Linked DNA regions of Drosophila melanogaster. The protein of the gene in region 1 interacts with the protein of each later gene in a pairwise test. Each region holds a gene or a part of one and is shown on either strand. Other genes may lie near its edges.

Region 1 (4,820 bases):
TGTTAATTTGAATGCACCTTCTAATAACTATTTGCTCTGCTTATGCCTTTTAGAACCCAACTTTCAGTTGAACTCCAGCCGCCATGCCATCTCGAGGGGTACACTGGACGAAATAATGACCGCGTTAGAATCGTAGTAAGCTGGCAAATTGCGCACCAAGTACAGATAGACAGATACAGATCGAAACCGAAGCATACACACAGACACAGACATAGCTACAAACTCACACGCACACACGTAGGTTTATTAAGGACCGATTAATTTGTACATTTAACTGAATTTATAATTAGTTCTCCCTACGATCAAGAAGTAGTCTTACGTTTATTTTTAAAGACATATTCAATTTATATGCAAACTCACGTTGAAAATACCAAAGTATTTTTGCAAGAGAAAGCTATTGGTGCAAACGTTAATATTTTGCACTTATATGATTGCTAAATTAGTCAGCAAAACAGGGACAAAATTTAACACAGCTCACTCACTCAACTTGCAAATGTGTGCGATAGACCGTAAAAATTAATATTTTAATATTATTAACGGTTAAGCGGAATCAGAAAATCAATTTTCAATGTTTAAGCTACTTAAACAGAGCGTTACGTTAGTTTGACTTTCAAGAATACGTATTGTTCGTTTCTCATCCTTTTTTTTTTTGACAACTTAGATTTAAGAAACACTTGCGTTCATGCACATATATAAATATAAATATATATATTTAAGTATGGATCGTCTTAAATGTACTGTAAGTTCAATGTATTAATGTACATCATCATCATAAAATGTATGTATGTAAAAAGAAAACAGATTAAAAATGGATAAAATATGTTGCCAGTTTTCAATGGGATTGGCTGAGAAACTTTTTCGAAATTTGCCGCCATTTGAAGATGTTGCCACATTCGAACATTGACGTTGCCATATTGTGAAAAGTCTTGTACCGTTTATTTTAAGCTATGTAAAAATGATGTTATTTTTATTACCTAACATGTTTTTTTTTTCACAGAATATTCTACAGTTAATTTATACAGATTGAATAAATTTAATGTGCTAGAAAGAGATTTTTTTGTGACTAATTTGAATAGATAAATGGAAAGATGTTATCTTGCTTTATGAACAACACACACTTAACTTTCTGATATATTTATCAATCACAGGATAACTTAAGCTCGTTTTTATTAATGTTCTATTATATAATTAATATAATAAAATGTTTCTATACACAAGCAACCATCGCTCAGCGTTTCCGTTCTTATATATTCTTATTATAATAAGTATTATTTCGAATTTATGCAACGATTTTACGTTCGTTCAGTTTCGCGGCCAACGTTGCCACATGTTGCCACACGCTTGCCCCCAAAGGTGGCCACCTTTCATGCAGAGCCCCGCGTATCCAATGCAGCGCCAAAAGCAAAACAGTCGCAACTTTGACTTGTTGACGGTTGGTTCTCCTCGGGATTCTGGGGCCGCGTCAAAATTCCAGATCGTTTGGCGCGAGTGCGAACTATTTCAAAAGTTGCCCCTTTGCGTGAGACGTGCCCCCGAAATGTTGAACTCACAGGACCAAAGCGGGCCGGGCCCCTGAAAACCAAAAAGAAAATAAAGAAAGAAATTAAATAGATATAAACAAAAGAAAGAAAAAAACACACTATTAAATGATAGCACAAGTAATTTAGGCATAGGCCGGCCAAAACAATCAGAAACGGAGTGCAGAATGCCCATGAAGAAGGTGACGGTGAAGGAGTACGATTCGCAGGATGAGGCCAGCACCGAGCTGCTGGAGAAGCTCAAGCATCTCGACCGTCGTGTGGATGCCGCCGAGGGTGGTGGCTTGGCCAAGGGAACCGCCGGCGGACGAAGGAGCACCGCCTGCTGGCAGTCGATGAAGTGGAAGTCGGCGCTCAATCACATCGGACTGCTCGTCTCCCTGTCCATTTACTGCGGCGTGGGCGGATTGGTAAGCGATGGTGGGGGGCAACGTGTGTGCCCAGTTCGGTGCCCAGCAGACCCGAACATAACTAGGCAAATATTTAATTATTTTCAATATGTTTTTATTTATTTATTTTTGTTTTTCCATCCCCCCCTACCTTTGGCTCGCCTTTTGCGGCTGCCGCGAACATGCAAAATGATTTGTGTTGTTGGGCGAAAAGCCGAAAAATGGCTAGCGTTCAAATTGTTTGGAGCAAGAAAGAAATGCAAAACACACATAAATACAGTGGCCAATCGAGCAGGGGATTTAACTTGGCCTAAAAAGAAAATATTTAATATCCCTCTAATGCATTTTTAAGCCAACAAATTTAAGTCACTATATCCTTCCTTCAAATAAATGTTGCATATATAAAAAATTATGAATCCAACGATCGTGCACTGTACCAATGCGATTAAAAACAATAACCCAAACAGAGCGCAAATTTATTGCAGTGGGAAATAGTAAAAATTAGACCAAAATTAAGTCATAAAACTATTTTGTACATTTAAGTGCCCCGCCTCCCCTAATTGCCACTGCACACATATATCGCCACATATCCAGACGCCCAAATCTGTCTGGCTGGCGGAGCAGGAGGCAGTGCATCATGTGGACCACGTCCAGGCCTTTTTGGCCTTGTCTAAACATTTACATTTTCGCCAATGACGTCGTGGTTTCAGCTCTTGGCCAAGTTCTAGATACATATATACTTGTATATATATGTACATATGTGTATTTGGAACTGATGCCGTCAGTTGTCCACGACTGCAAACTACAACTGGCTGCAGTTAATCCAAGGCAAAGGTTGGAGCTGAAGCAGCCAGGAGTCCTAATTGCTGTGTCCCACGACTTGACATATGGCCAAGTGTCGTGCCGGGTGGGTATTTGTTATATTGCCTCTCAATTTCCGCGGACTACAACAATTGGCCACTGCGAAATGGATACGATGGTGTGGGTGACGGGCTAAATGAGCCAAACGAATGAATGTCGAAGCTTATCGAGAATGTCTGATATGTATAGGATATATAGTACGATGGAGGTAGCCATCATTAAGGAGCATCTAAAGCAGGCTATTTATACCGATAATCAGTGTTTTTCCTAAGCAGATTAGTAGATTTCTGTTGAATGTATTAAAAGATGGTTTGATTAGCTTAAATAATCATCCTTTGACTTGAGCTGGCGAACTTAAAATACATATTGTTAGCAAAGTGACTCTATTTTAATGTACTTCCATCGACGGACTGCCTTGGCAACTAATGATGATTCATGGCGCCTTGAGTTCTTCGATATTTTATTCTCGGCCACGTCGAATGGGAAATCGAACAGCATTATCTTGGCCCAATCAACACCTCGCTGATATATCGGAGAGCCATGCATTAATCAGGCAACACATTCGCATTCATATGGATTGTCGAGGAATCCCCACCCCCTTTTACGCCCTAGCTAAATTTTTCCGAATTTTCCGACGGACGAAACGTAACGGTTCGGGACGGGACCCTTCAATCTCTTGGCCACACACCACATGTTGGCCAATTATGCGCACTTCTCACTTAAATGGCTCATCAAATTTATTTCGAATTCAAATTCACATGGTGAATGGCATTTGTTTTATGTTCCGATTTCACGACGCCTCAATCGCTTGATCTTTTTCTTTATCCCAATAAACGGAGGAAAAATGCATTTAAGCTGTTGAAATAATAATTATATGAATAAATGGTAATCGTACTTAAATTATGTGCCACGTGGCATAAAAAATATTGCCAACTGAAAAATTAACCCTCCGGCTTTTGGTTTGCAATTTCGCACCCACTTACTTAACCCTTTAAACGGAAATGAATCCTGCGACGTGAGCGGAAGTGTCCACATCAGCATATCACATGTCATTCAAGTTTTCGCACAGTTTTTCCTCTATGTTTTCCGTTGCCGGAAATCAGTTTCGGTCACTTGACCAGCGACAAAAACTTTTGAACCCCATCGTCTTTTCTTCGATATTGGTTTTAACAAAAGTTGAAAATACTTAGCTTTAAGATGTGATCTTTGGATTTTCGGTGAAAATATACAGTTTTGTGTTTATTAATAGCCTCTTTGTTAGTTTGAATAAGTTAAAAGTATCTAAAGCTTCCCGAAATTTAAAAATAAAATTTGTACAATTTTTAATAGACTGATAAGTACTTTTTTAAAACATTTAAACAATATTTCTAAACCCATGTCGTCATCCTTTTGGGTGTCTCCATTTTCCGGAGATGAGCCGCTTTAAAGTGAAATCACTTTTTGGGTGGCACAAGCCCATAAACTTTTAATTGCTTTTGTTGACGAGCTGGCCATGAAGCAATTGACATTTATCTATTTAATGCGTTCGCTTCCTTTTTTCCCCGCGACACAACACCAGCAAGTTTATTTATTAATTAAGCCAAATTCCCAGGGGATCGAAGGGAGTGGGTCTCGAATTACCAGCAAACAGCCTCCCACTTTCACATATGGCAAAAAAAAAAAAAAAGAAAAAAACTCGTGGGATGAGTGGCCATAAATCATTTTAATTAGCATTTTGTAGCATACTTCAAGGCGTCGTCGATTCCCTGCACGTATGTGTGTGTGTGTGAGCTTTCTCCCTTTATCTGTGTGTCCCTGTATCCTTGTGTGCGTGTGTGAAAAATTTCACTTTGTCAAAAGTTGTCCAGCGGAAAAAGTTAGAGGCCGAGTGAATTAAGTTGCTGGCCAAAACAACAAAACGGCCAATTAGACTCAAGTCAACCCAACCCATTTTCCCACTTTCTCCCCTTTCTGGTCATTGGACAACAAAGGCCAAGTTATTAGCAACTACCAGCAATAATTATGTGGACTTTAGAGAATATGTAACGATTAT
Region 2 (5,006 bases), on another chromosome or scaffold:
AAGGTCGACCAAACCCAAACCCAAGCCCATTTGCCATTGTCATCATGGGGCAAATGGAATTTGCCAGTTAACTCTTCCATCTGGTCACCTCGTGCTTTTGCCTGATTTTTACGCAGTTGTCAACCCGTCGAAAGCGACTTATTCGCCACACCTTTCAGGTGCAGAAAGACAGGAAGGAAGGAAGGATTCGAATCTGGATCCCCAGTCACGCTGTGCGTGCTAGAATGGTCAACAGTTTTATTGTCCGGCAAAGGACTCTGGAAACAAATGTTGATTTCTGCGCACAGAAAAGAAAAGGATTTTTTAGAGGTTTTTTATGTGTTTTCGCATCTGGCGGCGACAGTTGAAATTTTATACTACCGTTGGTTGTTAATGAGTGTCGAGATTGTATGCTTTTTAAACACATTCAAGGGTCCTTGAATAGATTTTGTTATTAACGGCGAAAAAAGTGGAAAAAATATGTCACAAAAGAGCGCCTTTAAATCTAACTTTGTGTTTACATTTTATATCAAAAACATTAATTCAATCTGTGCTAGTATGCAACATATTTCATTTAATTTTATTTATTTATTTTTCTTTCCAATTGAAGTCCTTTATCCCACCAGTTATTTAAAGTCGCAGTTGGTCTTTAAAATGCGCGGGGCAATGGCAAAGCAATTACCCATCGATTTGTTCGATTCGGAGGCGCTCAAGTGCTTAAGCGTCCTTTCACCTTTTTGGCAATGGCATCCTGGCGATTTTGGTCCGTGGATAAACAGCGTTTTGTTTGCATTTGCGTGGCGTTTATTTGTTTGCCCGCTGTTGATGTCTGCTGGTCGAGGAGCTTGGAGCTTGGACGACGAGGGTTTCCCGGGGAAGAAACAGATCTTCGGAGGGGTCAGGACATCTTGCAGACGTGGTGGGTCAAAGGCTCCTGCGGGTATTCCAACCGGTCACTGTTCCCAGGTAAGTCGGAAAAAACACAAATGGTTTACTTAAATTACGGGGCTAAGAAAGAAATGAAAATGCGCATAAAATTTTTATACTTTGTCGAATTTCACGAGCGTTCCTTCCCATCGATTCATCTGTGCACTTTGCAGTCGACGCTTGCGGAATAAAATCCACTGCCCCTCAATTCCTCAAATTAAGTAAAGTGAGTAGGGGAATCCCCTTTTCCATTTAAATTTGCATAAGAGGCATCGGCGAAAGCGGATGAGGATGCGGATGGGTTGCAGTGTAATTGGGCGAAGTGAAATTGCGTTAATATTTAACAAGCCAGCGAAAGTGCAAAAGCGAAGCGCATTAAATGCGGAAAAGGGATACGGAAACGTAGTCCTTCGGGGCAAAGTGCGAAATTATGCGGAGTTCAGGGAGATCCGCAAGCCCTTTCCTTTGCGAGCACGGACCTCAAATGTTAAATGTTAGCCATAAGGTCAGCCAAATGTGAAACTCGAGCCGTGAAAGCGAAATGTTTGACCGCGAAGAGCAGCGCTGATTTTGAGTGGTAATTTCATTTCTCATTATCGTCGTTATGGTAATTCAATAAAATCATGACAATTCAAAATTTCGTGCCCGGCATGCGATTGGAATCTGATTATTGCAAATTCAATTTATAGTGCTATAAATATAAAAAATTTACAAAAGATATTAAACATGAATTTTAACCCATATAATATAGTACAGTTATACATAATAATAATAAAATCCGCAAAGATCTATTTATCGTAAATTTCAAACATATACGATATTCAAATATTTTGGCGCCATTACAGGTACTGAAAAATACCAAAAATACCGTAAGGTAACTATCGATGACGGCGATCAGCTGTGATCATCAATGGCGAACAGCTGATCTGGCTCGCGAATTTTCATCTTGTTGTTGGACTTTCTGTTGTGGACTTTGAAACGTCGCCTCTCGAGTTTAAACAACAAAAGTTACTCAATTTGGAAAGCCATCGAGTGGATAGCCATGTTTCGGACCCGGGTGCACCGCAATCTGTCGTGGATATCGACGAACTCGTCGAGGACAACGACCACTCATGGCCAGCACTACCAATACCTGCAATGTTCCAAGCTGCCAACGCTGTACTTTCAGCGCTCCTTGCCGCGATTGCCCATTCCTCTGTTGGAGAACAGCTGTCGGCGTTTCCTGGAGGCCACCAAGCCACTACTCTCGCCGGCGGAGCAGGCGCAGACCCAGCAAACGGTGGAACAGTTTCGCCAGGGGATCGGCATGGAACTACACGCGAAACTCAAGAGCCATGATGCAGAGAACAAGCATACCAGCTACATCTCGCAGCCCTGGTTCGACATGTATCTAGCCGATCGAGCGCCCCTGCCACTCAACTATAATCCGCTGCTGGTGATGAAAAGCGACGCGCGACCGGAGTACCAGCAACAGGTGGTTAGGGCTACCAACCTGATCATCAGCTCGTTACGGTTCTGGCGATCTCTGCAGGCGGATCTCCTGGAGCCGGAGGTGTACCACATGAACGCCAAGAAGAGCGACACTTCCAGCTACCGCAGGTGGATGAAGGTGGCTCCCAAAGCCTTTGCCACCTACGCGTCTTATGCCTTCAAGGCCTTTCCGCTGGACATGAGCCAGTACAACCGGTTGTTTGGCACCTCTAGGATTCCTAGGATCGGCAAGGACGAGCTGGTCCAGTCACCGGACGCCAAGCACATTCTGGTTATGCGCCGCGGTCACATGTACGCCGTAAATGTGCTGGACTCCAGTGGATACATCGAGAGTCCCAGTGTGATTCTGGGCAGACTAAGGGCTGTGCTTAAGCTTGATGCAGATCGCGAGGCAGCCAGCGTGCCACTTGGTGTTCTGACCTCCGGACAGCGTGATGAGTGGGCCAAGACAAGACAGCATTTTGTTAGCAACACCAAAAATGCCGATCTTCTGGAGAGAGAGGTGGATGCGGCTCTGTTCTGCGTTTGTCTGGATGGCGAAGAAGATGGAGTCTTTAACGAAAACCAGCAGGAGCCGCTGCTCAAGCATTTGCTGGCGGGAAAAGCGCAGAATCGGTAAGAAGTCGACATTATGTAAAGCCTGCCTGATTCACAAAATCATCCTGTTCTGTTACAGTTGGTTCGACAAATCCATTTCCCTGCTTATAAGTGCAGATGGAACAACGGCTATTAACTTCGAGCACTCGTGGGGCGATGGAGTGGCTGTGCTTCGCTACTTTAACGAGCTCTACAAGGATACTTTGAAGCAGCCGTTTGTATCCACGGAGACAGTGCACACTCCCGCCGAAGGCGATTTTAGCAACGTGCGGCCCATCAACTTCGAAATCGACGATGCCACCAAGTCGGCCGTTTCGGAGGCTTATAATAAAAACGCCAGCATTGTAGATAATCTGGACATGAATGTGCTGAAGTACCCACACATCAACAAGCCCACATGCAAGCAGTATGGCCTAAGTCCGGACTCCATCATTCAGCTGTCCTTCCAGCTGGCTTATCGCCAAGCCTACAGCGGCTATGTGGGCAGCTACGAATCCTGCAGCACATCCGCCTTCCGACACGGACGTACCGAAACGATGCGACCGTGCACAAATGCCACACGGGACTTCTGTGAAGCTATCCTCCAGCCGGAGAGGAGCAAGCCCAGCGCCGGAGAACTACGAGCAATGATCGACAATTGCAGCAAGGTGCATGGCCAGTTAACCAAGGAGGCGGCTATGGGCCAGGGCTTCGATCGGCATCTCTTTGCCCTTCGGCACACGGCCCAAAAGGAGGGAATACCAATTCCCGATCTCTATGAGACTGAGGCTTACAAGCGCATTAATAACAACATCATTAGTACCTCAACACTGGGTTCAGATGCCCTGCTAGCGGGTTCCTTTGGTCCGGTGGTCAAGAATGGCTTCGGAATCGGGTAAGCTGACTGCCTGTCGAGATTGGGTATTTGAATGTACAAATGCAGCACCTATTTTTCAAGTTGCCTCGACAAATTGTTCACTAGCTGACAGTTGATAACCCATTATTCTTTCAGCTATTCGATTCAGAACGATTTTGCCGGCGCCATTGTCACCACGTACAAAAACCAGGCCGATGGGAAGGTGTTCATAGACAGTCTGGAATCGGCATTTGATAAAATTTGCGCTGTCATCCAGCAGAGCAGCAGTAGCAAGAAGTAGGAGAAAATCGTGAGGAGTCCGACCCCGAATCCAATGAATATGGCTTTAACGTAACAGGGAGATTTATTTTGATGCTTTTACATTGTATCCCATGTGTCTGAATTGCAATATCTTTATCTACAATTTATAGATTATACACTGAAAACATTCTACCCCATCTAAAGCATCTGTGTCTTTGCTTTTATACCCGCTGCTTTAATGGCTTTTGCGGCTGATGGGATAATAAATTGGCTAACATATTGTTGGGATGCTGCTGGCTTGACATTTGCAATTGAATACGAGAAATAACTCACGTTTTAAAACAATGCTGAAAACAACTTTAAAGTAAAGAGTTTAAGAAGTTTATATTAAAATTGAACATAGAGTTATGATAAACGAGCTGAAGTAAAATCGAATAAGAGCGGTTGAAAGCATTTAAGATTATTTTGCGTAAGAAAATGTTTTTTTTTTAAGAAAACATCTTTCGATCCTTTGTTTTCCTAAGTAAAATCAACACACAGAACGATGTATGGCACAAACCCTTTTGAGTTGGTTTAACTATTGAGTCTCCTTTTAAGCATGCGTAAACTTTGACCTTTCATTGTCACTTAAGTTAAACAAGATGTGTGCCCACGCACACCCTGTTCCCAACTTGTTTATCCCGGAATAAGTGGGGGAAAAACCCTTGCATTAAACAGTTTCTGATTAAAGATTTCCCACACGCTGACCCAGAAAACTTGGCCACCAACCCTTCGGGCCAAGTTGTTGCCTTTCGATTTGTGTCAGCCGCACACGTCAATCGCGAACTCCGCCTAAACATGGCGAAAAGTTTATCAAAACGTTGCCTTTTTGGCTGGGAATGGGGATGTCGCTAAATGTGCTGACGTTATCAGTTGA

The links.
Region 2: the proteins of CG43155 (region 1) and CPT2 interact in a two-hybrid assay, tested with the Drosophila melanogaster proteins (one large-scale study listed by BioGRID).

What each region holds. Positions count from the first base shown.
Region 1 is NC_004354.4:11,458,177-11,462,996, forward strand, and holds the start of CG43155 (uncharacterized protein), read left to right. Parts: upstream 1-1,609; 5' UTR 1,610-1,705; coding exon 1,706-1,948; intron 1,949-4,820. Other genes in the region: HP5 (heterochromatin protein 5), read left to right, coding at 54-136.
Region 2 is NT_037436.4:2,979,175-2,984,180, forward strand, and holds CPT2 (carnitine palmitoyltransferase 2), read left to right. Parts: upstream 1-1,847; 5' UTR 1,848-1,948; coding exon 1,949-3,012; intron 3,013-3,073; coding exon 3,074-3,868; intron 3,869-3,985; coding exon 3,986-4,130; 3' UTR 4,131-4,377; downstream 4,378-5,006.